4 linked regions of the Drosophila melanogaster genome follow. The protein of the gene in region 1 interacts with the protein of each later gene in a pairwise test. Each region holds a gene or a part of one and is shown in the gene's direction. Other genes may lie near its edges.

Region 1 (8,265 bases):
AAGTATATAAGTGGATATGTACGATTGTTAGGCATCTCATTAGAGAAATTAAACATTTTTATTCATATCTTTATTTTATGTTTCACAACCTTTTCTGCGAGTGCATTCAAATACCAAACCGACAATTGCTAACCCTTCGCTTGCTTCAACAGACCCAAGCGGCGCTTTGGCACGCGCAGCAGCGCCCATTTGGCGGGAAGTGTGGCCACTGCTGCTCCCCCCTGCGCCACGCCCACCGCCCTGCCCAAATCAATCTCGGCCAGCGGAAGCGGAAGCATCGGCGGGGTCACCGCGACAGGCAACGATGGCGCCAGCATCGACGGACGGAGTCTGGAGTACGCGGCCACCATTGCTGTGCCCGCCCAGCAGCCCACGCAACTTCTTCAGCAGCAACAGAAGAAGAACATATCCCTGAACTCCCTGCCCAATGTGGTCGAGGGCGTGGCCATGGACAGCCGCAGGATTAGGAACGGCTGTGGCGTAATGGGAGGAGCAGGTGGCACCGGAGGTGGGGGAACGGGCCCATGCGGCATGTCCACCGTGTCCTCTCCCACCGCCATGATGTCGGCTCCTCTGGAAGTCCAGCTGCGACCCAGGAACGGAGCCTGCAGCATTCAAAACCTGGCGGAGGCCATCGACGGCAAGGGTCTGATCATTGAGGATGAGTCCACCACCGACTGGATACCCGAGATTCCGTTCAAGAACGTAAGGTCACTTACTTTAATGCTTAAACAAAAATTTCACATATAATATCTTGGCGACCGTAGCTTAACAGTCCCGAAGATGGATTAAATCGTGCCGACTCCATACTGGTTGATACGAAGGAGGATCATAGAGTCTCGGTGGCGGTTTTGGATGAGGAGGTAAGTGGAGTCAACTAGCAGTCCCCCGCTTCTACAATACAACCCGATTCCTCGAAATCCAGATCGACGAGTTCATCGAGCAGAACATTCAAATCAATTCGAATAAGGAAATCCGACGCGAGTACCTTAATCCCTGGACCCTCAAGTTCAAGGACAAGAGCCAGGAGCAGAAGTTCTGTCAGTTGCGGGAGGATATGTTCCGGTGCGTGTGCAGGCCTGTTAATGGAAAACCAACAAAGGCCAGGACTCTCTTAATTAATGAACTATTGCTAATTGATTTCTCCCCCCCCCCCCCTGCCATTTTGTACCGACCCCATCTACTCCATTCAGATCCAATATGCTGTGTGTGTTTGTCATCTGGATATTTATGGTGCTGTGCCAGGTCATCATCATTCCACGCTGCACGCGTCTCATTATTTGTCTCTCCGTGGGCACGGTAATTCTAACTTTTTGTTGCGTCCTGGTCATGGCCGAGGAGTTTCCAGGTGAGCATGAATACAATTGAATCAAAGCATTATGAAAAACATAAAACTACTCAAGTTCAGTACCTCAGGTCTAAATACTCCACCATTACTCCCTAGGTTTACCCCGCTGCCTGAAGACGAACTCTGCGAAATTGGTACACCAACGGCAGCGTCGCACTCTATTCATTTGCGGCGTCATCGTGTCCATGTGCATGCTGAGTGCCATAGGACTGGTCCTGTGCCCTTCTTCCACCTACATAGGCACCGCCGACGAGCACTCACGATTCCTGCGAATGGTTTCGCCATACAGCAACATCTCCATGACGGAGAAGGAGTTCAAGCTGAATGTCTATCTGTCTGCCACCATCCATCACAATATCACAATTAGCACTCCGGCCAGTGGAGGGCCCACTCCCCTGGTGGATATTACAAGTAGTGGTCCCTCCGACGAGTTCGTGAGGAGCACGCTCAACGCCCTCACTTTGAATTTGACTCCTCCACTACCGCAGTCCCATCGGCCCTATACACTGACCACAAATGGACACAGTGTTTCTCTCAGTAACCTCAGCTATTCAGATGCTTCGGTGATGCAAAGTTCCTCGGATGTTGAGGGGCAGTGCGCCCATCCGGAGTACTTGGTGTTCACCTGGGTGCTCTGCCTGGTGTCCTTGGCCACCGCATTGAAGCTGTACTACCTGGTCAAGGCCCTGATGGCCTTGGCCATGGTGGCATTCTACACCACGCTGATCATGATGAAGTTCGGGTCCGGCGATAGCTTCAGTTTGGTGGAGCTCTCCAGACTGGGCATGCCGCTTGGAGTCCAAATGCTGATACTGCTAATATCCTTCCTGGTGATGGTCTGCTACCATGCTAGATTGGTGGAGGTAAGAGAAGGTGCGACCAATGCTTTCGACCCATCACTCATTCCGATTTCCCCAGGTAACCTCGCGTCTGGACTTCATATGGAAGGAACAAGCCGAGCGTGAACTGACCAACATGAAATCCAATCGCGCGCTTAATGACACATTAATTAAGGTAAGATATTTGGTCAAATACACAGGGCCAAAAAAGGGGATAATAACCATGAAATAGGAAGGGGAAAATGTAACCCAATTCTATTTTGGTCTACCTGCTCCTTCCTCTGCATTTTTCATTAATTAAACCATTTGATTGCAGAACATTCTGCCGGACCATGTAGCCACCTATTACCTATCCGACGAGCACACGGACGAGCTCTACTCCAAGATGCACAATCTCTGCGGCGTGATGTTCGCCTCCATTCCGAACTTCCAGGACTTTTACTCCGAGGACATCGACAATGGCAAGGCCTGTATACGTATTCTCAATGAGATTATCTGTGAGTTGATTGATTAAGCATTGTCTCCCGGTTGCAAATGTCTAATGATGCCGCACGGCACAAATCAAACCAGGTGACTTTGATGAATTGCTGGAGGAGCCACGATTCGCATCGGTGGAGAAAATCAAAACAGTGGGTGCCACGTATATGGCGGCAGCGGGATTAAATCACGAGCATCTCAGACTTCGCGGCGAGACCTCCGAGGATAGTGTCTGCGACCTGGTGGAGTTCGCATTTGCCATGAAGCAAAAGCTGGAGGAGATCAATGGGGATGCCTTCAATAACTTCCAGCTGCGTGTGGGCATCTGCAGTGGTCCTTTGGTAAGTGGAGTGATTGGAGCCAGGAAACCGGTCTACGATATCTGGGGCAATACGGTCAATGTGGCATCACGAATGGACTCCACGGGCGAGAACTGGCGAGTTCAGGTTCCGGAGAATACGGCGGAATTGCTTTGCTCCAGGGGTTACACGTGTGTGGTAAGTGGGTCTTTTGTTACCTATCCCGAATTCTTATACGTTTTTTCAAAATCCCACAGAAACGTGGTGAAATCGCTGTGAAGGGCAAGGGCATGATGACCACCTTTTATGTGCATCCCAAGGGAATATCGGAGAGCCAGCTGATCTCACCGGTTCGCATGCCAGCCGGGATTCCCCTGGCCCAAACCCCGAATCTTCAGCGGCAGACCTCCCATCATGGATCCTTCAGTGCCGTGGTTTTCGGAATGCTTCAGGCTAGCAAACGCAGCACAGCCATTGCCGGAACACGTAAGTGTTCCTTTCGGGTAACTTAAAATTCTTATAACATTAATTTGATTCTAATGCTTAAGCCACGGGCACTCCTTCGCCGCAAATCCGTCGAGGACATCGGGGAAGCACGTTCAGCTCGGTCCGGTTATCCCAAAAGTCCACCACGGTCAATCCTGTGCGCCGGAATACAACCCGTGTTCGGGGACGTTCATATCGACAGAAAAAGGTACAATACGTAGTGTTTCAAAAATTATTATATATCAAATAGTATTTAAGTTGTTCATATGATTCTGTTTAATTAGAAAGAGTATTTTCTAGAACCTATCTTATATAATGATATATTTTTCCTATTCAATATTTTAGAGTTCCTCCAACAACTCGATCGTCACGCAGGCCAGCTCTAGCTATATGCCCTCGTTCCGACGGATCGACCAGATCGAGACGACGATATCGAAGAGCCACAACGATGCGTTATAGCCGAGTACGCGCACTCACTGGGTCTAAGTCGATCTCAAGGCGATAGAGTGTCTGATGAATTTATTTTTGGAACGATTTTATACAAATGGAGTTACGCCGGCATATGTTTCAAAGTTTGGCTTAACACTGAAATGAAATGGTGGAGAACGACACTGAAGCTACTTAGTAGAATTTTTAAATCACCATACTTGAAGTTGCAAGAATTACATTTATCTCAGCACAATTCTAGTCGTTAAACTTAAGAACTGTCGTTTATATGTGTGCGTTTCAAATCTGTTTAGAGTAAGATATTTGGATCTTCCCACAAAAGCCAACCATACGAAATGCCAATGAACCTACTAGCTTCGTTCAATTCAACCATAATGTGTACCAACTAGTTTTCTAGTACTAATAGTCAATTTAACAGCCAGTAATCAATTAGAAAACCAAATATTAGTTGTACAAACCGTTTCTTTTGATCAAAGAGCGGAAATGTAAATAAAGTAAGCATACTTATGTATAAAATATTTTACGACCATCTAAATGTAATGAGGTCAAGTGTTACTGAAATGTGAAATGGATTTTGGCAAATAAAAGGTGTATTACTATACAGCCAGCACTTATTTAGCACTTTAATTGTAATTATACAATTCGTTATAAATAAATGTGATAAGCAAAACTAACAAATGGTAGAACTTAATGGTTTTTGGAATATACGTCAAGTTATCATTCAAATGAATTATAAACAGTCGTTTTCTTAACTATTGTATGACACTTTCTTTTTTTAGTGGCCCATTATAACAAAAACTCGAATGTGGAATGTATTTAATAGTGTAGGATTTGTTATGTAATGAACGTGGATTAATAATTTGTTAAGACGGTTAACTAAATATATAAATCATAAATAACCATTAGTTGAGATACGGTCACACTTTGGCGCCAAACCAATACAACAGTTGCCATTCGATTTTAGCTATAGCAGCTGGCAGCACTGCCAATAAGTGCCAGCGATACATGCTTGCTGTTATCGATCAAATATAGAGTAGGAAGCCAATCGATTTTACCAGCGCCATAATCGATGATGGCATCGATGTTTCACCACCACTAGTCGAAACACATGCGGTGCTGCGGAAAAGTGTGATTATTAATTGGATTTCGACGTTTTGAAGGCAGCGGATCGCCAAATTTTGAGTAACGTGAATCCACAGGAGTGGCGGTGAATGCCCATTAACCAGCGGACCTGACCAGAGATGACGAGCGGTACGGTAGCAACGGCGGTGGAGGTGCAGCTGCCGCTCAAGGTCGTTCGCCGTAAAATCGAGCGCGTTGGCTTCGCTTACTTTGCGCAACGGCGCCAATTTCTAGCTCCCGGCGGCGTGGAGCGCAGCGAAAGCGATGAGAAATTGGAGGGCGTGGGCGAGGAGGTGGACATCAGCTACCTAAAGTCGCTGGATCCTAAGGAGTGGAAGGACCAGGATCATTACGCCGTTCTTGGCTTGGGCAAGCTCCGGTTAGTGCGACGGCAGCACGTGGTGTTCTTCCCATGTGTTCGTTTCTATCAATATTTAATGGGACTTCCCCAACTAATACTGTATTGTCTGACTAAATCACCCTTTAGATACGAGGCCAGCGAGGATGATGTTCGACGGGCTTACAGGCGCATGGTTCTGCTGCACCATCCCGATAAGCGGAAAGCCAAGGGCGAGGAAGTCATCCAGGACGATGATTACTTCACATGCATAACCAAAGCTTACGAGATACTGGGTGGGTGTCAAGAAAATGTCCTTGCTGATCCTTGGGTGTCCTTCGGACTTCGCATTGCCCATGCAAATCGACAGATAAGAATATTTTGATATTAATTTTCAGAGCATTTGCTTAAGCTATATAAAATTATGATACCATACAATCCTGTTGAGTATAATAATCAATTAAGATTTTAAATTATCTGAAACTAATTTATACTCGATCTAATTCATTGGTGTGCTGTTGCCTTTGTCTAAGCGCGCAGAACTTGAAGCTTTATTTTTGCATATCTAAAAATAGGACTAGTTGTTTGCTCTCACATTCTTTTAAACAAAATGCCAAATTATAACTTACTATTATACAACAGAATTTTTTTGGCTTTAAACACTTTGAATAATTGTAAACAATTGTACGAAATAGACAGGAAGATTTTAAACTATTTCCTCTTAAACCATCTAATACTCCATCTTGTATTCCAGGCACATCCAAGCCGCGCCGCAGCTTTGACTCAGTGGATCCCGAGTTTGACGACTCGCTGCCCTCACAGAACGACATCGATAACGACTACTTTGGCGTATTTAACAAATTTTTCACACTTAACGGGCGCTGGAGCGAAAAGCCGCATGTTCCCTCCTTCGGGCAGGTGGACGCCAAACGCGAAGAGGTGGAGCGCTTCTACAACTTCTGGTACGATTTTAAGTCATGGCGGGAATTCAGCTACTTGGACGAAGAGGACAAGGAGAAGGGCCAGGACCGCGACGAACGTCGCTGGATCGAAAAGGAGAACAGGGCGGCTCGAATCAAGCGCAAGAAGGAGGAAATGTCTCGTATCCGGTCGCTCGTCGATTTAGCCTACAACAATGATAAGCGCATTCAGCGCTTCAAGCAGGAGGAAAAGGATCGCAAGGCTGCTGCCAAGCGAGCCAAGATGGACGCCGCCCAGGCCCAGAAGGCAGAAGCTGATCGTGCCATCCGTGAAGCGGCTTTGGCCAAGGAGAAGGCTGAAAAGGCCGAGCAGAAACGCATCGAGCAGATCCGCATCGAACGCGAGCAGCAGAAAAAGCTGCTTAAGAAGGAGCGCAAAACGCTGCGCGACAAGGTCAAGGACTGCAAGTATTATGCCAAGAACGACAAGGATCAGCTGAAGCACATGGAGGGCACCGAGAAGATTTGCGAGACCTTCAATCTGGCAGAGCTGCAAGCTCTAAATAAGGCAATGGAAAGCAAGGGCCGTGAGTCGTTTGTTGCTGCCCTTCAAACGGCCGAGCAGAAGATAGCTGCCGAGTTGGAGGAGATTAACCAGACACAGGCCAAGAAGCTTGCCAGCTCAGCGGCCACGCCAAAAGGCGTTAAGGAGGTCAAGAAGAATGAGCTCTGGAGCAATGAGAACGTGCAGTTGCTTATCAAGGCGGTTAATCTGTTTCCCGCTGGCACTGCACAGCGTTGGGATGTCATAGCCACTTTCATTAACCAGCATAGCCCGGATAACACTGTTCTGGTCAATGCCAGGGATGTGCTCAACAAAGCCAAGGCGCTCCAGAACACAGATCACTCGAAGAGCTCCCTGAAGACTCAAGCCAACGATGCGGCATTTGCCAGTTTCGAGAAGTCCAAGAAAGATGTTCAGACGTGTAAGGATATAACCCTGGGCGAGGAGACGGCCCAGGCGAGCAAGGAGAACTTGAAACAAAACGGTGTAGATCATAAGGCGAACAATCAGTCAACCAAGCAGAATGGCACGGCTCCAGCTCCAGCAAACCCCACGGCTGCACCAGCCCCAGTTCCGGCCACAAATGGGTCTACGGGCGGCGGTGCTGCCTCCAAAACCTGGACCAAGGAGGAGCAAGCCCTGCTCGAACAGGCCATTAAAACCTATCCAACGACGACACCCGATCGCTGGGATTGCATCGCCGCCTGCATACCGAATCGCAGTAAAAAGGACTGCTTACGTCGCGTCAAAGAGCTGGTCGAGCTGGTTAACTCCAAGAAGGAGGCACAGGCGGCGGTCAAATGAGTGCGGCTCCTGCTCCACTTTACCTGCCTCTCGTCCGCCTCATCCACTTCTAGCTGCTGTGTCCCATATAAATTTTATTTAAATAAAACATAAAAAGTTTTTGAACGTTTAGCGAAAAGTTACATCCAAAGATTCTCCATTTTGACTAGCTAGTTTCCAACGGTATATGCAGATCAACAAATATAATCTGTGCGGGAGGGTAATCTGCTCAGGTCTGCTCGGCCACACTGCGTCCGCCGCTCAGTTTTAAATCGAAGGCTTGCGGATTGGCTAAGGGATCCAAGTCGGCGAAAAGATCCAGCCAGGGATTGTTGGTGGTCTGCGATTTGCTGGGAACCGGGGTGGCGCCACCTGCACTTGCCTTCGAGTCCGTGGCTACTTGGCTCGGTATGGGTTGCTGATTCTGCTGGCTAAACAAGCGGGACCATAGCTTGTTAGTGCTATTTTGGGCAGGTATATCTTCATCCAGCGGCGCATCTATTAGAGGACTGTCCTCCAGCTGCTTGGAAAGCTCAATAAGCAAGGATTCATTGTCGCCGCAGGCATTGGGAGGTGCACTTGGTTTGTCCTCTTCGGACTCCTTGATTTCCGGCTGGGTTTCCAGCTTGTCCTGGTACTCGT
Region 2 (10,452 bases), on another chromosome or scaffold:
TCTCTGCCTGAGTTGTAAAATGAAAACGGACGGAGAACAGTACAAAACAGGAATAAAAAAAAAAAATAAAAAAACAAGGAAGGGAAAAAAATAAATAAGAGCAGCTCCGGAGAAGAAAAAGGCAAATTGCAATACATCAAATGAGTCGTGGCTATGGGGAGAAATGGGGGCTTAGTCGGGGTATGACAACTGCGACGGCTGCAGCCCTGACTTTATGATAAGAAACCAGAAAACAGACGAGCTCCGAGTGCCAGGAAAAGATGGGGCACGAAAATGCACAGCGTTTCCAGATAGATGATGCATTCAAACAAAGTGCCGCTTGGCAAATTTATGCTTAAAATCGCTGATGCATCACTGTTTCTGTTTAAAAGGGCTTGCCGAAACGTTGGGACCCAGTCAAGGACTACTCACATTTCACCCGCAGTGGCAACTGATTGCTGACCGTCTCGCCCTCGTCGTTTATAGCACTGCACGCATAGTTCCCGGCGTAGTGTTTCGTAATCTTCTGGAGTACCAGGCTCTGATTCGAGCGAATGACGCGGGCGGATGTATTGTGCTCCAGATGAATACCCTGAAATTAAATGGATACATAATTATGAACGAAAATTGTAAGAGATAGTTTATTGGTTAAATCAATAACATGGCGTCTCTCAAACACTTTACGATGCTTATAAATGGTCTCTAAATTGGGTTTCTATAGTATTTCCTAGATAAAATGATAGAACAAAGTAATTACCACTTTTGAACAATATCGTATAAGTCTGTTGTTAGAACTCCGAAATCTATAAGTCTATTAGCAAAACTGAACTAATACAACAATGGATTATTCAGCCATAGTGCTGCCCAGCAATAATCCGTTCTAAAGCCACTCGGGTTCGAATTTCAATTTGCCAAAATCCGCTAAGCGCGTCCGAAAGGCAAAAATTCCCCACACACTCGTGCAAAACACACTTCCTCCCAATGGAGAGGAAGTGGGTTGTTGGCCGTAGTTTGCGGACTGTGGAATGGGAACTTGGCCTGAGTGATTGCCAAGCGACTGCGGATTGCAGTTGAGCGACGGCAAAATCAATGCCGCAAATCCCAAAACTATTTTACCCAAAATGGCACCACCCCATCTACATACATCACACAACCCATACCGGGCCAAAGAAACCACTAGAATGGAAATGAGCAAATGCAGATCCATGCATCAGGACATCGTCGGCGGCCGCCACTGACGGAGGAGCAGCCACCTCAACGCATACGCAACCTGCCATGTTATTGGCACTTAACCAGAACCGAATGCAAGGAGCCAGCCAAGCAGACGCCTTTCAGGGATGCCACCCGGTGGCTGTGGATTGAGCCGGATCCGAATGGATGGGTCCCTGGGTCGGTATGACTGCCCGGCTCACTCCTGGCCAACTTGAACACACTGCGACCTACATTATGCAACCACAACAGTTTCCGCCATTGAGGATTCGATTGTACGTGACACTCGAAGTAAACATCGTCGCCTTCCTTGATATCATCCGGTGTCAAAGTTGAGCCCAAGCGTAACGTCACCAAGGGAGGATCTGCAAAGAGGAGCAAAGAAGGAAGACAATTAGCCACTGGAAATCCAATAATAACCTGAAATGGTAATCTAGAACTTAACTGCGAACGCGTGAATACACTTTCTATACTTTTTAGGTATAGACAAAAACTTTTTATCACACACTTTTTTTAAATAAATGACATGTTGTAGCAATCGTCCTTGAAACATTTTGTGAGCACTTCTATTTATTTCCTGCATAGGTCATGAGCCTTAGAAAATCCGAAATAAAATGTAAAAGGCCTATTAACTCAATGTCTTACAACCAAAATCTTTTCGATTATTCATGCCCCGAAGTTGTTGTGCCATACTTTTTCGAGCTTTGCAACTGTCTTGTCATCGCCCAGAATCCCGCACACTGTCATGATCAAGCTTATTTAATAGTTTTTGCAAATATGAGCGATTTAGAGCAATAACTGGAACAAAGTGAAGCATCAGCCAAGAGTTATGAGGACATGGCAACGACATCCCGCCCATCGACCGCTGTTTGCCAACATGTGTTGCCGCTTAAGTCGTTTGAATTTGCTTAACGAGCCACAAACTTTGCGACAAACAGAGACCAAAAGCGGCAAGAACCCGGACCCAGACAAGGAGACCTAGTACCAGAACTGGAACTGGGACCGGGACCAAGACCAAGACCACGAAGAGGACCTGGACCTGGGAAAGAAATAGGAGCAGGATCGGGAAAAAGGGGACGCACGTGCCAACCTTAATATTGTTGAGTTATTGGCGGCCAAAACCAAACGTCGACAGTCAAGAGTTGGGCAAAACGGAACCCAAGACCAGACCCAAAACCAAACACCAAGCCAAAGCCAAAAAGTTCCCTTCCGCCTTCGCCTGGAAACTTTAGAATGGCCTGGAAAACTTTTGCCCAGCAAGGGTGGCATTTCACCGCCGCCCACTTGTGTAGGCCCCTCGTTTCTCAGAGTCTGCCAATCAGGCAAAGTGCCCAAAGGGCTGTGAAAACTCTTTCGCTGGAAAAGTCGCGTCGCGCATTTCCGCACACATGTTGCAGGCCATTTTTGTGATTATCATTTACCGTTCCACCACGGATACCCTTGCCCCGCAATCTCCCGACAAACTCGTTTCTTTGGCCCAAAACGACCATCGATCGATGGCGGAGCGGAAGTTGCTCAGAATTTATGTGCCACCGTGGGCTGTTGTATTATGCCAACTGACACACGGGATTTGCCAGGGCTGCAAATATTAAAGATATTTTGGCAACGTAAGACATGAAACTTTTTCTACCATATTTAAATTGGTTGCAGCAATTCAATCAATTGAGCACTCATAAATTATAAGCACATTCTTTTGGGCCAATCCAATTATGCACATATTTTTTTGAATAATACTTGTATTAAAATTTGAAAATAAATACTAAGCAACTCTTTTATAACCTAAAAAAAATAAATTTGTTGCCAGCATTTATCGAGCTGGCATTGAGCTGCCCTCTTAATCAACTTAATAGGCTGTGCGAAATTAGGAAACACTATAGTCGCACGAAATAGCAAAATTTTACTCAGTCGATGAGATTGCTTTCGCCAGTACAAGTCGGCAGTTTTAATTATAAATCACAAAAAATTACAAACTAAAAAAAAAAAACAAGTTATCCAAATCTGTGATTGTGAATCCTGCAAAATGCCGTGTAAGAGAAGGACAACTAGTGCCCGACCAACAGCCAGAGCTCGAGAGATCGAAGAGGAGCAAGAGGTCCACGCCAAAATAAGGTCATATTCACGTTCCAGGGCGACAACATTGAAGGCATCAAGCGAGGCCATCAATCGCGACGTTTCACATCCAACCAGCAATAAGAAATGTGAAACCAATCTGAATTCCAAAAATGTTTCGCAAAAAGGACAAAAGTCACAGCTAATGACAGAAAGCGCTGGGAAATTTGATTCGGAGACAAAGAGAAAACGGCAGGCGACAGTCAGTGGTTCCAAGTCCCAACTTTTGGACGAGTTAGCGAGTGATTCAGATAATTATGTCAAGCAACTTCGAACGTTTTTGCGAAGTACGTCAAATACGGACGATGAACAAAAGAGGGATTCACCTGCACGGCAAAGCCGTTCTAGATCAAGACGCAGATGTACACAAAAAAATGAAAATCTCGATGAACCGGATCAAAATACAATTTTTAAAAAACCGGAAGTTTCTTCCAAAATAAATTTGGAAAAACATAACCAGAGGACTTCAACGGATAAAGAAAAGCAATATAAAGGTCAGAAACTAAATTCCTCCATTGAATCGATTTTGAATGTTTATGATGAGTTACCATCACATTCGGACAATCAAGCTTTAAACTTAAGCCAAAAACGTAATAATGCCTGGACTACGAAGTTGCCTGAGAGCAGTCCAAAAAATATACCGAAGAAGAATTTCGATTCAAAGTCTAGCGATTTAGAAGAGGCCGAAGAGAAAACATATTTAAAACGTCAGTCTGAGAGGAATTTTTATTCAGGTTACCGTTCGGAGTCTGAAGGGACAAATATCACGCCGGCTAAACGTTCTAAAGCTCAAATCAACTCAATACCTAAACTAGAGTACAGTACTACGTACGGCCAGGCTCAGAATTTAGTCGTGTCGGAAAACGCTAACATAACACAAAAGCCGAGTTCAGATATAAAATCGCGTTATCGTTCGACTGAGTATAATCAGATTAACAAGCCAGATTCTCAACAGCCCATCAACTATGCCCATCAGAAGGAAGAAACAATAGATAGGCGTCGTGAAATGCACATGAGAAAGGAACATCAATATGTAGATAATCACCTGAACAACCCGGCACAAAATAAGCCCGATCGTACTGTAAGTTTTTTAGAAATGCTCTCTCAGGCCGAAGCTAAAAAAGAAAGTAATCAAGGTGCTAAAAAGCCAACGGTTAATAAAGTTTCTAACGTTTCTCAATATCTAATCGATCTTGGCTTTACTGCCGGTAGCCCTAACCACGATAGCAATAGCAATGATGGTAACGATGAGCAAGACAATATTGATAGGCGCCTGAATGCTGATCTAGATTCTTTATTTACGACTGATGAGCTGGCATGTCCACCTCCACCTCCACTAGCAAAGATTCCAACAAATCTGACAGTTGAAAGACCACATTCTCGGCTATCGGATCCCAAGAAAATAGAATCTGATATAGATGCACGCCTCCAGGCGGAACTGGATTCTCTACCCATGGTAGCGGTACCAGCTGACGAGAATATAGAACCATTAGGTAAAACTGACCAACACTTTTCAGTACCTACAAACAAGAACTTGTCGGAGAACAAAGCTTTTCCGAAACCGAATCAGGTATGCATTCCTCCACAACCAGCTATTCCTCCACAACCAGCCATTCCTCCAGCACCAGCCTATTGTATGGCCAACAAAACCATGGATACAGGAATGTCTAGCGTTGTTCAGATGGCTAATAATCCGCTTGCTTCAACTCAGCATCACGCCTTGCCACAAGTGCCGATAGTCACGCGACTTAAGGTTGATCAGGGTGAGGATGTATCCGTCAAATTTACCACCGGTCTGGATGGACTAATTACCAATGTGCAATTGCTGCCATCAACGATGGCAATGGGTCAGCCAACAGTGAAGGCCACCGAATTAGAAAGCTTTACGGCCCAGCAACTGAATATGTTATTACAAAGTGGACATCCCTACCTGTCCTTGCCCATGACTAACTCTGGAGTTCCAGGTGCCGTGCTACAGGAAACGTTACAGACCAAAGATGCAGGATTTCCATCTGAACAAGCGGTCGAAGATGAGGAGGTTGACTATGAGGAAATAGGGGTGGCCGACACCTTTGCAGCTTACTGGCCCAGCAAACTGAAGTTTGGAAGAGCCCATCCCGATCCCGTGGTGGAAACGGCCACTCTGTCATCCGTTGAGCTGCCCAATATAAACTATCAGTTGGCCCTGCCCTCGAAGACCACCGAATGTTTGAGTGCCCTGCAGCTGGAGGCAGTGGTCTATGCCTGTCAGGCTCACGAGCAGATCCTGCCAAGCGGAGATCGCGCTGGATTTCTGCTGGGCGATGGGGCTGGTGTGGGCAAAGGCCGCACCATTGCCGGCATTATTTTCGATAACTACCTGAAAGGGCGGAAACGTGCCCTTTGGGTCTCGGTCTCCAGTGACCTCAAGTTCGATGCAGAGCGGGATCTAGCCGATATAGGAGCCCACGAAAAGATCCGTGTAGCGACAATCAACAAGTTTAAATACAGCCCCATTGATTCCGAAGAAAATGAAAATTTCAAGCGCGGCGTGATATTTTGCACTTACACAGCTTTAATTGGAGAATCAATGACGACCAACTCGAAGTACAAGACTCGTTTTCGCCAGTTGACCAATTGGCTGGGCAAAAAGTTCGAAGGAGTGATCGTCTTTGATGAGTGCCACAAGGCCAAGAACCTAAGCCTGATGAATGTGGGTAAGTCCACCAAGACGGGAACGACTGTTCTGGATCTACAGAAACTGTTGCCAAACGCCAGAGTGGTCTATGCTTCAGCCACGGGAGCAAGTGAGCCCCGGAATATGGCCTATATGGTGAGATTGGGCCTGTGGGGTCCAGGTACCGCCTATCCAGAATTCTACGAATTTGTTAACGCCGTGGAGAAGCGCGGCATAGGAGCCATGGAAATCGTTGCCATGGACATGAAGCTAAGAGGTACTTACATAGCACGTCAACTTAGCTTCAAGGATGTGAGTTTTCGCATCGAGGAGGTGAACATGTCGAAGGAATTTCGCAAGAGCTATAATTTGTCTGCCGAACTCTGGGCTGACATACACAAGAAGTTCCAGAAGGCGTGTCGCCTAATGTGCGTCGAGAATAGGGTGCAGAAGATTATAACCTGTCAGTTCTGGTGCGCCCATCAGCGTTTCTTCAAGAACCTGTGCATTGCCTCCAAAGTGAATCACGTGGTCAAGATGACGCGGCAGGCGACACGAATGGGAAAGGCGGTGGTCATTGGCCTTCAATCTACTGGGGAGTCGCGTACCCTGGAGCATCTAGAACGTCATCATGGAAAGCTTAACAGCTTTGTGTCCACCGCAAAGATGATCATTCAGTCGTTTGTGGAAAAGCACTTCCCAGCTCCTAAACGCGACTCGTTTCATCATTTACTAAATACGGGTGAGTTTGAGCCGGAGGCACGTTCCCGCCCACCCAAACAGAAGAAGTCAAAAATGAATACCGATTGGGTTGAAGATGATATGGATGCCGAGGCGGGCGAAAGCGACATCGAGATGTACGAGAGAAGCTGTACTGCGGCTGTTGAGAAGATTAAGTCTGGACAAAAGCGGCGAGGACGACCGCCCAAGGCGGACAAAGGTATGTTGATCTAAGTGGTTTATTTTGAATAAATATTAATCATTTTAATCCCTTAACCAGTGGAGAAGATTACCATGCAGGAGCGCATCCTGGAGCATCTTTGCAATAATATGAGGGAACAGGATAACGAAGATGAATCCACAAACACTTCCGACAATACCAAGGTAAAGGTAAACATCACGGAGCGTGATGTAGAACGCTGTATAAACATGCGTGAGATGCTGCTGGAGAAAATCGATGTTCTGGGCAGGAAGTTGCCGCCCAACACGCTCGACAAACTAATCTCTGAACTGGGTGGCACCAATTTGGTGGCCGAGATGACAGGCCGTCGTGGAAGAGTGGTGCGAACGGAGTACGATGGGTATAAGTATGAGCCACGTTGTGAAAACGACTCCACTATGGACCTGGTCAATTATCGGGAGAAGCAACGCTTCATGGATGGCAGCAAGCACGTGGCCATCATCTCGGAGGCGGCCTCCAGTGGAATATCTTTACAGAGTGACAAGAGGGTTTCTAATCAGCGGCGCCGTCTGCACATCACTTTGGAACTCCCATGGAGTGCAGATCGGGCCATACAGCAATTTGGGCGCACCCATCGCTCCAATCAGGTCAATGCACCGGAATATGTATTTGTGATCACCGATCTGGCTGGTGAGCGTCGATTTGCATCCACGGTGGCCAAGAGACTGGAGAGCTTAGGAGCCCTTACCCAAGGCGATCGTCGTGCCACCGATGCCCGTGATCTCTCCCAGTTCAATATCGATAATAGCATCGGGCGCAGTGCCCTTGAGAATGTGATGCAACAGCTGACCAGCAATAAACCACTGGACCGGTCTCAAGTGCCTCAATCGTATAAGGGAAACTTCATATACGATTGTTGCGTGGCAATGGCCGGCGTGGGTATGATCAATGTGCGGGAGGAGAACAAGGTCAAGGTGTTCACCGTGGAGAAGGATAGTAATAATATCTCAAAGTTTCTAAACCGCATCCTTGGATGCCGGGTGGAAGTGCAAAATGCACTTTTTAAATTCTTTCTGGACAAGATGTACTCACTGATCATGCAAATGAAGCGCACAGGACGCTTCGATTTGGGGATTTTAGATCTGGATGCCCATGGAGCAAGTGTAAAATCCATCAAGCTGATGAGGTTCATTAGGAAGCACGCCACAGGAACGGCGGCCACCGAACTTCATACGGTGACAGTGGAACGTGGTATGTCCTTTGAGACAGCCCTAGCCAAGTGAGTTGAAATTTATATGGGTTAAGTGTATTTAACTAACTTATAAACTCCCATAGATACCGAAAGGAGGGCCAATACGAGCACGAAGGCTTCTATATTCTACAAAAGCGGCGCCAAAACAAGAACTCCGCAATTTTATGCCTGCAGGCACCGTCCAATTCATCGGATGTATCAAACGGAAAGATCAATTTGCAAATCTACCGACCCAATACAGGTCCCCAAGTGCGATTGGAGACACATGCCTCCATTTCATCACGATATGTGAAGGTAAGCCCGGAGGAGGCCCAAACATACTGGGTGCAGCAGTACGAATTGTGCTTGAATATGTGCTCACACCTCTACTGGAATCGGACCTGTCCAATGCCGACGGGCTGTGAAGTAGGACTCCGAATGCGTACCTATCACGTGCTCTCCGGGTTAATGCTACCGATTTGGGACCGGATCGAACTCATTATCGTAAATAGCGGACACAAGATCCAGATCATACGCATGAAGACCGATGCAAACAAGAAGATAGTGGGTACGGTGGTACCGCCTGCCGTCTACGATGACCTGGTGGCCGATTTGTCCACGGATTCCCTCGTGGAGAGCCATTAAAATGACACCGCCCAGTGTACGGCGAAGCGCACAGCACTTCTATTGCCACTTTAAAAATATCAACCGAAATTGTAGCATTCAATGCAATACATGTGGCGTAAGCTTTCGCTTTTTCAAAATGCCAAGCACGCTCCACCAGCTCCACCCAGGAGGAGCAGCACGCCCATGTTCCCGGCAATAAACAATGGCCACAGAAGCACATACGGGAAGACACTTACAGCTCGTCTGCGTGCGTATGTGATTCATATGTATTGTCTGCTGCGCTGCGGAGTGAGCTTCGCATACACTAAAAAAAAAATAAAGCTACCCAAAAAAAAATCGTCTTGTTTTTTAATATATTGTATTATGTAAATTGCAAAGGTAATTGGAAGGGGTTGTCAATCACAGCCAGTAGAATGGCTTAAATTTAATTTAAATTAATAATTATGAATGAAATGAAACTTGTTACTTTATTTAACCGCAGTGCTCTTTCTTTTCCAATCCTGCGCTCTTTGGGGGATGTCTGTGATTGCATTCCATGTTTTGTCTTGTTGCCATTGCTAGGAGACCAACTAAGGCTGCCCCGCTCGGTTACATTATAAATTTTAAAACGACCCAGTCGCTTGCACCCTGCCACACATGCGAGATATAAACAAAATTATACAAAGGGGAGGGAAGGATTGTGGCGCATGAGATGGGCAACGCGTGGCATAAACCATGACCAAATGGCCTTGGCAAATGTCGTGCCTAAGGAGCCAAAACGCAGTTGGCATAATAACTCACGCGTGATGCAGATATCGTATTCCAACAGCACTGGCAACAACAACAAAGACATAAAGATGCCGAGGCATATAAATTCAGTTGTTATCTAAATAAGAACAAACTGTTATTTATCTGGCCATAAGGGTATGTAAGGATCTCTAATGAAGTTATAGCCAACAATATTTGCAAATTTCAGTTTTCCTAATCCTTTTTTTTTAAGTAAACCCATGTTATTGGTCTTGAATGATTGTAAGCTCTAATCTGATCATAATTTGATTTCTTTTCTGTAGGACATCAAAGTCTTAAATAAATAAGCAAGTTTAAAAGAACTTCGCAAGCCTGCCCCAACAGAAGAATTTTTTTAAAAACACAAACATTTGGGCGCACATTTATGTGTATGTGGCTACGTGCCGATCATAAAGTTTATTTGCGCCAACGTAGCAACAAACACAACACCGTAAGGACGGTACAAAGCACCGTCAATTGCTATAACGTGAGCAAAAACAAACAAATAAAAAATAATATTCTAAAACATAAAATATGAGCCTGCAAAGTATGTGTGGGGCATAAAAAATATAATCATATTACGCCTATACACACAGCCAAACGCAAAAACACACAAACGTACTTTTTTCTTTTGGGCGTAAGCGAAACTGTTCAGCGGAGGCGTGGCAACCTCTTTCAGATTGAAGTAAAGAAAATATTCATATTTTAAGAAATGAAAAGCAAAGAAACGCTATTACGTGATGCCCTTGGAAACAGGAAAAATAAAATGGGGAACAGAACGGAGTACGAAAAATGTTGACTGTGGCATACATGGCGGATACGGAACGCCATTGAGTTCGATTCATTTTCCCTATCCGGCACTTTTGTTTCACACTTTACGATGTCCGCAGTACTTCCCAGTTGGTTATTTCAGTGCTGTGGAATACGAATTAAAGTGGCTTAAAGTGGAAATTACAATTATTGGGAGATTTTGTT
Region 3 (7,066 bases), about 18 Mb from region 1:
CACTATTTTCTTACAGAACCCAGTCCGGCGCATGCTCCTCATCCGCCACATCCTCCGCTGGGGGCTGCGAGCAGCAGCAGCGGTGGCAGCGGAAGCTTCGAGCGCTCCTTCAGCATCGGAGGCGTCGGATCCGTCGAATGTGATCCAGATGGTACGCCCAGTTCGCCAGCGGTGATGGGCACCAAGCGCAACCGGGTGCTCACCCGTCAGCCGAGGGTGAAGCGGGACAGTGACAGCATCTCGTCCACGAATCAGATATCCCCGGATACGGCTGCCACGACGCTCGACTTTGATCCATTCAATGCTGCGGGCGCCACGAGTGCCACGGCCAGAGATTACTCTACGACGGGCTCGCATCATCTGCACCATCAGTCAGCTGTGCACCACCATCATCACCTGCTAACCGTTCCACCGCGGATCGAGCGCCATGCCTCTGAACCGGCACCCAGTTTGGCCCCCTCCACGCCGCACCTGCTCAGCGTGCCGTCCAGCACTCCCTATCTCATCAAGCAGCACTCGGATCCGTTGCTGCCTCGCCAGTCCGCACTGCACATGGCCGGATCCGGTTCTGGATCCAGTTCCGCGATGGCAACTGGCAGCAATCCGTTTGCCCCGCTGCACCGCCAATACTCGCATCCGTTGTCGGGTTCAAATGCCAGCTATGTCACTCCGGCGCCGCTTCACCATCCGCACCACATCTCACTGCCCGAGTCCATCTACGCCTCGGGGTCTCCGCCGCCGGCCGGCTCCTCGCAATACCTGGTGCCCACGCGCGTAGTGGCCTGTCCAGTGGTTTCTAGTGAAACGGCGGCAACGCCCACTAATGCCAGTCCCGGCTCCTCGTCGACAGTGTCGGCGGCCGTGTCTGTGGTTACCTCACCCAATGCGGGGCTACAGAACAGCGCCAGTAGGCATCCGTTGTCGCCCACTTTCTCCATTGGATCTGATGTGGCACACGAGCGAAGGTCTCCGCACTCTCCCTCCATCAGCAGATCGCAAGTCGTGGAGCGGGCGGGGAAGAATCCAGCAGAGGCCGCCAACGGAGGCGGTTCGAGGCTGCGGACTTCCAAGTCTGCCTCGGGCTCCATCACTGGCACCCATCTGCATCCCGGCCAGGCCACCATGAGCAGTTCGTTTGAGCATTTGCCCACGCTGCGTGTCAAGAACGAGGAACTGCAGCGATCGGTGTCTTCACCTCAGGTGAGTTGGATGTGTACCCGACCGAAAGATCACTCACACTGACTTACCTTTGTTGCAGACCCAACGGGAGATCATCACTCTCGAGAATCCGCGTTCTAGTCATTGTCCGGTCATTCGACCGGGTCCGGCGCTGGGCTGCAACTTCTGTTGGAACACCATCGACGGGCATGGACGCATTTTGCGCCGCAAAACGAAATACCATTGCCCGGAGTGCCAGACGAATTTGTGCATTGTGCCCTGTTTCCAGGAGTATCACGAGCGGCTGAACAACGAGGCGGCCGCTGCATCCAGTGGAGCGGCAGCGGGCGATAATCAGCTGAGCAGCAGCACGACGGGATCGGGGAGCAGCAGCAGTGGCAAGGCATCGCCGTACGTCTCCTCTGCCGGCAGTAGCAGCAGTGGAGCGGGTGCAGCTCGTCATTATACCAAGACGGAATCGATATAATCTGGAGCTGCCGTGACCAAGCCCGCATATTTGTATTTGTGACAGGACGGCCGCCGAAAGGTTGACCTCCATCAGACTAGAAGCCACGCATTGCTCGTCCTTCATTCTGGAACATGGTCCACACATGGCCGTCTGTCGAATTTGTTTTTTTGTCAGCAGGAAGCGCGAAAAACGCGCGCTCACGAACTGCACCCAAATTTTCATTTGTTGTCCCAGTCCCACTGTGCATCCGGCCCGGAGTCCGGGCACATGGACTGCGAGAGAGGGCGCCAGGTGGCGCCAGAGAATTGTTTTTTGAGCCGTGCCCAGATGCACGCTGCCATTGTAAAGTAACGAAAATCTTTTGGAACACCGTCGGAATGCGGGGTGAAAACTTTTTTAAATCGCTAAATGTAATAATATGTTTATGTGTGTGTATCTATGTACTATATGTGTATGTTCTTGTACAAAAAAAAAACCGAACTAAAATCTAACAAAAATAAAACGTTGACGACGGTGCAGCTCGAAGCTCGAATTACGATAAGGTTTTCACCAAGTACAACTATCACTACCACTACCCCAATCCGCTCCGGCCTAAACTTAAGTACGTCCTTGCACCTGTACTTTCGCCGGGCACCGCTGCGCAGGCGCACGAATTGTCTAGTGGCCCACACTTGTTTTACTTAACGTTTTATATCTATGTATGTATGTACGTATATGCACATGGCCCTCGAGGAGGTTTTCGGATGTGCTAGATCCGGCGAATTCGTTTAATTCTCAGTGTAAACTACCATGTATGTAAACAATACGGAAATCAATAAATACTTGTGACCCTCTGGTTTGATACGAATTGCGTTTTCATGTGGAAGTAGTTTAGGAACGAGCCAAGAAAGCTAAATAGCTAAGTAGACCGTCGTTTCCATTATGTTTAAACATCTCATAGTGATCACGTTTTATTGATCTAATTACCATTTAACAAACCGACTTCGGATTACTTCTTGGCTGGAGCCTGTGGCGGAACTACCTCGGCGGGGGGATTAGCGTTGCGGAAGTTGGGGAACTGTTCCCAAGGCGCCGACAAGTCAAACTTCCTGAACTCCTGGGCCAACTCCAAGGGCTCGCAGACGACTCGCTTCTTCTCATCATCGTAGCGCAGCTCTACGTAGCCGGACAGCGGGAAGTCGCGGCGCTGGGGATGTCCCTCAAAACCGTAATCGGTCAGGATGCGGCGCAAGTCGGGATGGTTGGCAAAGAACACGCCGTACATGTCCCAGATCTCACGTTCGTACCAGTTGGCCGCCTTATGCACCTCGCAGGCGGAGTCCAGAGGAGTCAGCTCATCGGTGTAGGTCTTAACGCGGATGCGCGAATTGTAGCGCAGCGAGAGCAAATTGTAGACCACCTCGAATCGGTTCTTGCGACAGGGCACATCCACGCCGGCAATGTCAACCAGGTTGGTAAACTGCGCCTGATGATGATCCTTAAGGAACTGCAGCACGGGCACCACGCCCTCTGGCGCAATAAGCACCTCCAGCTCATCGCCGGCGGTCAGCTGCACCTTCTGCACGTACTTGGGCAGGCACTCGGCCACATAGCGCCCGAAATCGGAGAGATGCGAGCGAGCGACTGCGTCCGGCTGGCGGACAGTGGCTGTGGGTGGAATGTCTTACATGTAATTGACACCGCGATAAAGTCGACTTTTACCTACGCTTATCCGCCTTCTTAGGCTCCACTGGCGTTGTACTGGCCATCCGAAGAGCAGTGGATCCAGCAGCGGGCACCACTGATTGTTGAAGGGTTAGAATAGATCAGTTGAAGCTCTAGAGGCAAGGCATTTACCAACCATGTTTGGCCGACAGAGCGGCGACTGCGGCACGGGCACCCAGATTCCTGATTAAGGCCGCCATTCTACAAACTGTTCAATATAAATTCAACAATTTGCTCCGTTTTTGACAATTTATGTAATGCTAAAATGTCAATATAGTTGTTGGAGCCTAGGGTTGTCAGTGCGCCAAATTAATCTACTCGACAGCCCTACTTCGGTATTTTGACAATTTCGGTACAACACAAATACCGCACATACATTATTGTATTTCGTGTACGTTAACACCGAATTATTCTTCATTAAAAACCTCAACATTTTTTTGGAATATTTGCTTAAATGATTTATATAAAAAATAAATATACCCTACTACTTGATTTATTATTTAATTAAAAATACCAACACGTTCCTTGAAGTACAGCAGATGGAAAACATTTACAATTATTCTTCATTACCAACCACAAAACTTTTCTAGAATATTTGGTTAAATGATTTTTAAAAAAAAGAAATGTACCCTACTACTTCATTTATTATTTCATTAAAAATACCAACACGTTCCTTGAAGTACATCTCATGGAAAACATACCGAAATACCGAGATCTTAGGTGCATTCGACTACCCTGGCTGAAAACTGTGACAACGCGTTGCGTTTGGAATTGCGAGAATTGAAAACTTCTTGGAAATCAATTGGAAATCAAAACACAACAAGATGGTAAGTGAAACGCGTCCTCCCAAATCCCCGGGATAAGTGAAATTTAAATCTACAATCGTCGCCGTTTGCAGAATCATCTTAAGTGGATGGGCCACTCATCCACGATAATGGACATCCAGCGCTCGCTGCGTAATGATAATCAGCACTGCGAGGTGGTGCTGGCCTCCAGGGACGGCGTTCGAGTGCGCGCCCATCTATTCGTGCTAAGCACTTGCAGCGAACTGATGCGCAACCTCCTGGTGGACGTTCCGCGCGGCCAGGAGGCAACCATAATGCTGCCCGACATCCGCGGAGATTTGCTGGAGTGCATGCTGTCCTTCATTTACATGGGCGAGACTAGCCTGCCCTCCGCGTCGCTCCCCGAGTTCCTGGAGGCCATTAACCTCCTCGGCATCAAATCTGCCATCAGCTTTGAGTGCAATCCATCGGCTAGTCCACCCAGTGTCGATGTAGAGAACCATTCGTTAGCCGTGGAGTCGGCCAAGTCCATTACAGGACTCCAAATCGCTGAGGCCGAGCTGCTGGACGACGAGGAAGAGCCACATCCGATGGTCTCCGTCCCAGCCACTACACTCGCGGGTTCTCAACACCAGCCCAGCCATTCCAGTCGGTCATTGGAGTACATTGATGTCTACGAGCCGCCGAAGATCACCTACTCCATCGAGCACATGGACGGAAGTTCCAGCGGCAACCAATTTATACTCACCGAGAACACGGGCACTTTCACCATAACGCAGTCAGCATCGAGTTTGTCCAAAATTGAGGCAGATGAAACGGGTACCAGTGGCGCTGAAGTGGACCTGGGCGATGATGACGTGGATGCGGACCTTGCTGAGGATTCTGAGGAGCACGAATCACAAATGATCGACGAGGAGTTCGCGCAAGCCGATCCTCTTATGGAACTAGAAGCTGGTACTGAAATGGACGACGATGACGACGTGCACGACCAACTTGTGGACGAGGAAATAGACGATAAGCCCCGCAAGTTGGGCGGGGGAAAGACGCGAATCCGTCGCCCCATAAGTGCGAAGGCTGTCAAACGATTGTCCGATTGCAAGCCAACGCGAATCCAGCAGTTCGCAGCTCTGAAACGTGAGGTAAAAGACGATATCAACGATGCTTTGGATCTGGCGGCCGACGCGGTTATCATCGAGGGCTTAAGCCTACAAAAGGCCGCCGACCGGTTTGATATCTCCAAGACAGTCCTCTGGAGACGCGTGCGCACTAATCCCGCCTACATGCGAAACAATCGGGAACGACCATCCCTGCAAGAGGCCTACGAGCGACTGAAGAATGGACATTCTTTAAAGAGCATCAGCAGTGAGTTGCAAATCCCCATGTCCACGTTGCACAGACACAAGGTTCGTCTGTCCGCCCAGGGACGCCTGCCCAACTTCGTGTCCTGCCGAAAGCGCGACAATACGCCCAAGGATGAGCTGCGCGACAAATTAGCCAAGGCGGTGCATGCCTGCCTGAATGAGGGAATGTCCCAAAACCACGCGGCCAACCTCTTCGAGATCCCCAAGAGCACGCTCTGGAGACACCTGCAGCGACGCACGACGAGCCAGAATAAAAAGGTCAAGAAGGAATTGAAGGCCAATTACGGAGACGATATGCTAAACTAGAAATAAGCCTTCGGAGTTCTGGTTTTACAAACGTTCAGCTGGAATCAATAAGTTACCATTAAGAAGCCATAAGCATAGGGTTTAACTTCATGTTGTCCCATCAGTGTATGTACATCAACCATATCCTATCTCCTGATGAAACCAAAATTGAGTCCGGAAGAGCAGCAAGAGATGCTATTCTAGAGGTAGTTTTGTAGACTTAGTTCTATATGTAGATACCATTACCATTTTAACTGCTGCTCTTTTATTGTTCACTCCATCGTAATTGGTTAATTAAATACAACCAAAAATTAACAAAAACTTCTTTTTAAATGGGTCAAATTTATAACATGAGAGAAATATGTACATGCATGTAATTAAAATGCCGGTACTCTTCTCCAGCAAGGGTATAAAAATATCGATATTTTCGCTGGTTTTTCACATCCCTATCGCAATCTTTTCCCGGAATGAAGAGTCCAAATCGGTGGTGTAGTGATGTCAAGGTTACCAGACCGATCCCTGCTCACCCGCTGCGAAATTTTCGTCTACTTCGGGGTCTATATAGCGTATATAGTTGTGGGCCTGTACAAGATCTATGGGCTGCGGGATCACATAGTCAAGGAGGCAAAGTTCCAGTTTCCGGAGGGCTGGAGTTTGTATCCTTTTTCCCAGCGGCGTCGGGATGACAGCAACGATGAGCTGGAGAACTTTGGAGACTTTATCGTCAGCTTTTGGCCCTTTTACTTGCTGCACGTGGCTGTCCAAGGATTCATACGCTGGAAACGTCCCCGCCTTCAGTGTCTGGGATTCATCGGCGTCTGTGCCTTGGCTCTTAGTGTAAACCTGGACTGGTCATCGATGGTACTACTAGTCACATTGATAGCCAGCTACTACATCGTTTCCCTGCTCTCACTAAAATTTCTCGTGTGGCTTTTGTCCGCTGGCTGGATACTGTGCATCAATGTGATGCAAAAGAATGTCTGGTGGACAGATCGCGTTGGTTACACGGAATACGTCCTGGTGATTGTCACAATGTCCTGGAGTGTGCTTCGCGGATGCAGTTATTCCCTGTCCAAGATTGGAGCTAAGCAGGAGGATCTTACGAGATACAGCCTCGTCCAGTATCTGGGCTACGCCATGTACTTTCCCTGTCTGACCTATGGGCCGATCATTAGCTACCAGAGGTTCGCAGCCCGGAGGGAGGATGAAGTGCAAAACTGGCTGGGATTCGTCGGAGGAGTCCTGCGCAGCGCCATATGGTGGTTGGTGATGCAGTGCGCCCTCCACTATTTCTATATACACTA
Region 4 (6,298 bases), on another chromosome or scaffold:
GCAATGCAGCGGAGATCTCACCGACATTTCCGGAACTGGTCAGAATCTGAGCCAGATGAGACCCGAAATTCTTTTCGAACACCTTGATCTGGGCCTTGGGATTGTTGCTCGCCAGCGAGCCCAACACACGCATGGCCGACACTCTCAGGGATGTACTGGTATCGTTCACAACAATGGGCAGTAGTACATCATCCAATCCCCCATTATCAATGAACATCAAGGCATTGTCTATCTGATGGAGCAAATACTCCAGATTTTCCAGGCAGTCCAGCTTGGAGCGCATCTCTGACTCTAGCGGCGTTCTGCTGAAGTTCCGAAACTGATCGATTAACTGGACGATCAGTTCTCCGTCGGTGCGAAAGTTCTTCTGGAACTCTTTGTACGCTTTGCGTAGCTCGGCATAGCTCTTCTTCTGCTCCTTGACCCGCCGTATAGACTCCTCGATTATGTCCGGTTTATAGTCCAGAGCCAGGGGTTCGTTGTCATCGTGAGATTCCCGAGCATTCTGATCATCCGGTTGACTCTGCAGCGACGTGCCACGTTCGCTTTCGTCTAAGAGTTTGGCTTCCTTGAGCCCCGTTTGTAGGTTGATGCGCACGTGCAGGCCCCTTGGAATAGCTTGACCTGGAAATATAGAGTGCTCACTTAGTACACGTCATCCGAGAGTTAGCCTGGCTAGCCATTAACCTTCCGCAATCGTCTGCCATTCGTCGGTGGCCACGAAATCGTTGGTTTTGTTATCCGTTTCCGTTGCCGCTGCCACTTGTAAGCATCCCAGGATCAGGACACTGCCCAGAAGGATGACTACCTGCTTGCCACTCATACTGCTTCAGCTTGTCTTGCCTCCAGAATGTATTCAGTCTTTATTTCACCTGGTTTTAAGTAAGTTTCGTGAGAGTTTTTAAATCAGATTTCAGACTTCTGATGTGGATGTGGTTAATAGTATGACCGTAGGGAGCTGCATTGATTATACCGCATGTGGCGATATGTTCCGTGGAGAGCCAGTCGATTCGGAACCAGTCAAAGGCGGTTACAATTCAATTTCAAATTTGAAAATATTTGTAATCAATAAATTCGTTATAAACAATAGAATATATTAAAGTATTGAAAAAGTGTAAACTATATGTATGCTTTATAATCTTTCTTTATATTTATTAGATTGTGCTGTTGGACATTCCAAGCCAAATCTTATATAAATAAGTAATACAAAAATTAAGTAAAAATTTTTATGGTTAATTTTTGCTCTTAGTCCGGAATAGTTGGAAACTTTAAATGATTTCAAACATTATTTCGCTAACAAATTAATTTTTATCCCTAACGAACACAAATATTAATATTTTTAAACCTTAGTTTGTTGTGAAAAACAAGCATTGCTAGAAATTTCCAGACTTGAAATTAATATTTAAGAACCAGAAAAAGTTAATGCCATTCAGAACGATTAAACCACATCAAACCAGAATGCCACCAAAAATTCCCAAACTCATCGTGAATTCATTAAAAATTGAAAAGTAACCGCCATTCATAAGCTTTCCACTTCGTTACAACGTAGCTAAACTAGTTATAAACTAAACGTATTTACTGAGTTTACAAAGAAAAACGAAATCATGTTTACGCGCAGATGAATCAACCAACTCAAAATTGAAATGCCAAATTATTTGCAGGCAAGCCCGACGTAATAAAATAAAAGCGTGTTTGCATATATTACCATATTTCGCCCCCGAAAATCCGTTGTAATCTCGATGTCTACGACAGCGTCTAGGAATTGGCTGCGCAAACACATCAAAGTGGACAAAAGTGAAATATTTGGACTCACCTGGCGCCAATTGGATGGGTAAATAAACAGAATGCCGGTTTCATGCCAATCACACACCAAATATACATATACATATGTATATATGTAGTATATGCTAATTGCTGATGACGAACGCCAGGAGCCTTTAACTAGAATTTGCCAAATTAAATTCACTCGGCCCGTTCCGAACGTCGCCTGTCCAATAGTTTTGAAAGTGAAGCCACCTCGCCGAGCAACTTTTATCCGTCGATCCATCCATTATCGATTATCGATGCCGTTGGAACCTGTTTGATGTCGTCCAAAATGCCCGACTATGTCTAATTGGTTTATGTCGGAATTGAGTTGTGTTGGCCACAAAAAGATTTATCTTCGTACATATGTCCAAAACGGAAATTTCATAGTTGGGAGCCTTGGGATGCATTCTTCCTTCTGGTCGGAATACAATTTCATAACTTAAGTGATTTTTATCGTGGATCCTTAACCATGACCTATTCATTATCATTCCCTTTCAGATTGCCTGGCCATTTAGCACACTTAGGAATTCCCCCAGAGGTAGGTTCCCAATTCCAAGTGCTGATCTCAAAGCAAATATGGGATGAATAATATCATAAGCCAATAAGTACGAATTGATATTTGCACTTTATTAAAAGTGTGAACAAAGCGCGGATTCCATTTCACGGAGTTTGAATCTATAAAAAGTACACAAGATGCCGAAATATAGTGCAAATTATATATGTATAATTAAATTATATATATATATAATGCATTGCAGGATAAGTGGAAATATATTGGTTAATTGCTTGAAAACTGACTGGATTGAGCATTAAAATTTTGAGTTTCGCTGCCTTTTGTGCGCGTTGCCATTGTTATTGTTTATTGTTATTTGTTGCTGCATGCTAATAATATTAATTAATAATAATGCTGCTGCCAATTCTGGTTAGGGGTAGCTGCGATAAAGATAAAGACTGCGATGTCTATGATGATGAGGAGAATCCATAACACGAAGCGAAAGAGATATACACATACGAATAAATAAAAAAAAAATATAAATAAAAATAGCCAGCAATCAGACAGACAACAACAACAGCAGCAGCAGCAACAACAAGAAAAACAAGGGCCAAGACGCGACAAGTCAGGAATGAATAAACTATGAAGTGTACTGGTTGTTGTTGGCCACATTTGTTGCCGCTCCATCGTTCTGGCCGATCAGAAATTTTATAAATGCCGCCGTCTGTCCAGAGCCGATTTACAGTTTGCCATTGAACCTGGTCGGGCATTCGCCAAATCGTCGAGCGGTTGAATTTCGGGGCGCTTGAATTTCGTACGTAACTAGATCCATATCCAGAATGATGCTGCTCCAGCTGGGCTGCGTGGCCCTCTTCTGCTGCTTGGTTAGCGGTGCCTCGAATTTCCGTGAGTCCTTTGGCCAACAATCCCAGTGCTTCGCTAATCGCCAGCTTATCCTTGCAGCTCCCGAACTGCCGCGCTGCCACATGGGCGACACCAGCTGCATCATCAACGTGTCGCACATGCTGATCAGACAGCACGCGAGGACCGGCTATCCGTCCGCTGGATTCCCCCAGGTGGAGCCCTTCCTGATCAAGCGCTTCGACATCTCCGACGGACGCACTGGCTCCCTGAATCTAAAGCTCAACTTCAGGGACGTGAATGTGGAGGGCCTGTCCAGTGTGAAGTTCGACAGAGCCGTGTAAGTAGCAAGTGAAATGAAAAGTGATTTCCTTCTTAAGCAAAAGTGAAGAAGTTCTCATGTTTATTAACAGAAGAAGATATATTAAGTTGATTGCACTTATCCATCATAATCGTATTTTTCAGTGGCTTTGGCGCTGATCCTGCAACCAGCAAGTTTGAGATGTACGGATCCTTTCCCAAGATCGTGCTGAAGGGCAAGTACGTGGCGGATGGACGCATCCTGATCCTGCCGATTCGTGGCGATGGCGATGCCGAGATCGTGTTGCACAATCCCAAGTTTTCGGTGAAATTCAAGCCGGGCACACAGCAGCGCAATGGACGCACCTACCTGAGCGTGGATAAGCTCAAGGTTCTGGTGGAGCCACAAAAGTAGGTGCAGTTCGGATTTTAGCTGAGATATACTAACATATTTGTGTTCCCACAGGATGAACATTCGGCTGGAGAACCTCTTTAATGGCGACCAGGCATTGGGCACCAATCTGAATCAGTTCCTCAACGACAACTGGACGGAGGTGTGGAACGAGCTGCATCCCTCCATTCATGTGGCCATCGCCGAGATCATGAAGAGCGTTCTCTCGCAGCTCTTCAAGCGCTTCGCCTACGAGGATTTATTCCTCGAGAACTGAGCACTAGTCGTCCTAGTCGCCATCAGGCGCCCTAGGACTTTAGGCTAAGTGTACGAGTATTTCCTCACCTATCCAAGCTATTCTCACTCACATGGGGCGTTGCATTCCGGCATTCCGGCCATTGACACATCATCATCGTATCATCGTATCTGCTAAGCTAAGCTTTAACTTGTAGAATAAACAAAAACATTCGAAAAAAAACTGGTTCTGCTTCTGCGGGGGGCCATTGTTAGCTAAAACGTGGATCTCACTATTTCCGCACAAGTGTCGCATACACTTTTTGTTTCATTTTTGGCCAGCAATCAGCAATCAACAGGCAGCTCACGTGATGGAACGATTGATTCGAAATTTGCATGACAAAGGCATTATTGCTAAGGTGACTATACTTGTGGATAAAAGCGTAGTTATACATACGCTTAAAGTATTAAAACATCCAACAAATTGAAATAAACACCTTAATTATTATGAGCAAATACTTTGTGTCTTAAAAAAGACGAAGATGCATGCTCCTACTACTACTCCTACATCCTGTGCAACTAATTTAGCCCAAAGTGCACTAAAATTAGTATATGATATGATGATATGATATATGACTAAGATCTGCTTGTCTTAGAATCAAGAACTAACTAAATGGCAGTGCTATTAATCTGAACACAACTGTGCTGTCACTCATTGCGAACTCATTTCACTGTCCAAGTTCAAGAGTAGCCAACGGTATAGCTGCCATCCCGATCCCAGGGAATCGGACACCCAGTTGGCCTTGGGTCAGTGAAAATCTTCCACGAGCGAGCAATCAACTGCAGCGATTCCGAGCGAAACAAGTTGCTTTTGTTCTCCACGGGGGCTGGACTTTAAAGCGGGACACTTGGTCATTAAGTTAACCCAAAGTCTAGGACCTGTTCCGAGCTACTACTCCACCGCTACTCCTCCACTGCCCTTCACTTCGATTCGCAAGAACTAAAGCCAACTAAAGAACTGGTGGTCACGATGACTGCGTTGTTTTCGCATCTCAATTCGGCTATATTTGGAACTGGCCCTTTTGTGAGTTGCACACTTGCCAGTTAACTTTGTTAAGGGAGAACTTAATACCATGACTTTTAATTGGACATAATCTGTCTGATACTTAAATTCATTGAGCGGATTTTCGATGTAACTGATTGATGAAGATTAAGGTGAATAAGAAGATTTGCTACATGATCTACTTGCTGTCTAAAGTGCACCCAAATGAGGTGATAAACTAAGGCTTGTATTGAAATTAGAACAACGTTTTCTTACCTAATACCATCAGATGATTCAGTTGCTATTCGTTATTAGTTGATGATTCTGAAACGAGCTCTGGAATTGACAGACAGACGGTTACGGCACAGATAAGAGCTATATCAAAGGTTGCCATTAGACGTTATTTGAGTTGCACTTAGTGGACCACTATAAATACTAGGCGAAAATCCCGTTCGTATTCAGTAACTTAAAGTTATAGACGTGTTAGCATGTTCGCAATCGCATTCGCAGTGGTTTTGTGCCTTTTGGTCTCGGTGGATGCCAAATTCCGTAAGAGAAAGTCCTTTAAAACAAGACCTTGCCAATGAAGTAATAATCTGGGAAACCTAGATAGACACCTACCTCTACTTTTCGGTTCCAAAATAATCCTTTGTGTTCCTCACAGCCGAAGATCCAAAACCTTGTAAGTATGGTGATGGCGAATGTATCATGAAGCTGTGCAACACCCTGTTCAGCGAAAACTCGGCGGAGGGGGATCCTGGTCTGAACCTGATGCAGCTGGATCCGTTGAAGGTGGATCGGATGGTTATTAGCCAGGGTGAGAGCTCCAGTCCCGTGGGCATAACTCTAACCTTCACCGACAATCTGTTGTATGGGATCAAGGACCAAAGGATCGTCAAAGTAAAGTGGGTGCAGGAACAACACTTTGTTTGGATGAGAAGGATGTGATTCAACTTGCCTTGATCTTTGCAGGGGTTTCGGAAGGGATCTCACCGCCAAGCACGAAGTGAAAATTGTCACGAAAACCTTCTCACTCGTTGGACCCTATAACATCCAGGGCAAGGTACTCATTCTACCGATCAGCGGAACTGGACAGAGTAACATGACAATGGGTAAGCTATGCCAATTGATTTTTCAGATTTCGAGGAACTAAAAATCCTGTCCAGTTAAC

What was found.
Region 2: the proteins of CG10565 (region 1) and CG3491 interact in a two-hybrid assay, tested with the Drosophila melanogaster proteins (one large-scale study listed by BioGRID).
Region 3: the proteins of CG10565 (region 1) and CG15812 interact in a two-hybrid assay, tested with the Drosophila melanogaster proteins (one large-scale study listed by BioGRID).
Region 4: the proteins of CG10565 (region 1) and Jhbp7 interact in a two-hybrid assay, tested with the Drosophila melanogaster proteins (one large-scale study listed by BioGRID).

The regions. Positions count from the first base shown.
Region 1 is NT_037436.4:21,132,750-21,141,014, reverse strand, and holds CG10565 (uncharacterized protein), read left to right. Parts: upstream 1-4,661; 5' UTR 4,662-5,137; coding exon 5,138-5,397; intron 5,398-5,505; coding exon 5,506-5,651; intron 5,652-6,109; coding exon 6,110-7,644; 3' UTR 7,645-7,765; downstream 7,766-8,265. Other genes in the region: Ac78C (adenylyl cyclase 78C), read left to right, coding at 153-705, 768-863, 926-1,065, 1,194-1,348, 1,445-2,211, 2,267-2,362, 2,504-2,684, 2,758-3,161 and 3 more; ICA69 (islet cell autoantigen 69 kDa), read right to left, coding at 7,853-8,265.
Region 2 is NT_033779.5:14,921,527-14,931,978, forward strand, and holds CG3491 (uncharacterized protein), read left to right. Parts: upstream 1-3,063; 5' UTR 3,064-3,208; coding exon 3,209-6,893; intron 6,894-6,953; coding exon 6,954-8,133; intron 8,134-8,189; coding exon 8,190-8,730; 3' UTR 8,731-9,039; downstream 9,040-10,452. Other genes in the region: side-II (sidestep II), read right to left, coding at 412-571, 1,423-1,553.
Region 3 is NT_037436.4:3,155,942-3,163,007, forward strand, and holds CG15812 (uncharacterized protein), read left to right. Parts: upstream 1-4,049; 5' UTR 4,050-4,155; coding exon 4,156-4,158; intron 4,159-4,165; exon of another isoform or gene 4,166-4,229; coding exon 4,230-5,783; 3' UTR 5,784-6,078; downstream 6,079-7,066. Other genes in the region: BtbVII (BTB-protein-VII), read left to right, coding at 17-1,200, 1,259-1,645; ND-30 (NADH dehydrogenase (ubiquinone) 30 kDa subunit), read right to left, coding at 2,616-3,274, 3,333-3,407, 3,468-3,531; rasp, read left to right, coding at 6,258-7,066.
Region 4 is NT_033777.3:25,234,575-25,240,872, forward strand, and holds Jhbp7 (juvenile hormone binding protein 7), read left to right. Parts: upstream 1-3,039; 5' UTR 3,040-3,138; coding exon 3,139-3,205; intron 3,206-3,262; coding exon 3,263-3,500; intron 3,501-3,625; coding exon 3,626-3,871; intron 3,872-3,926; coding exon 3,927-4,128; 3' UTR 4,129-4,321; downstream 4,322-6,298. Other genes in the region: Sil1 nucleotide exchange factor, read right to left, coding at 1-624, 688-823; to (takeout), read left to right, coding at 5,616-5,676, 5,792-6,032, 6,100-6,239, 6,294-6,298.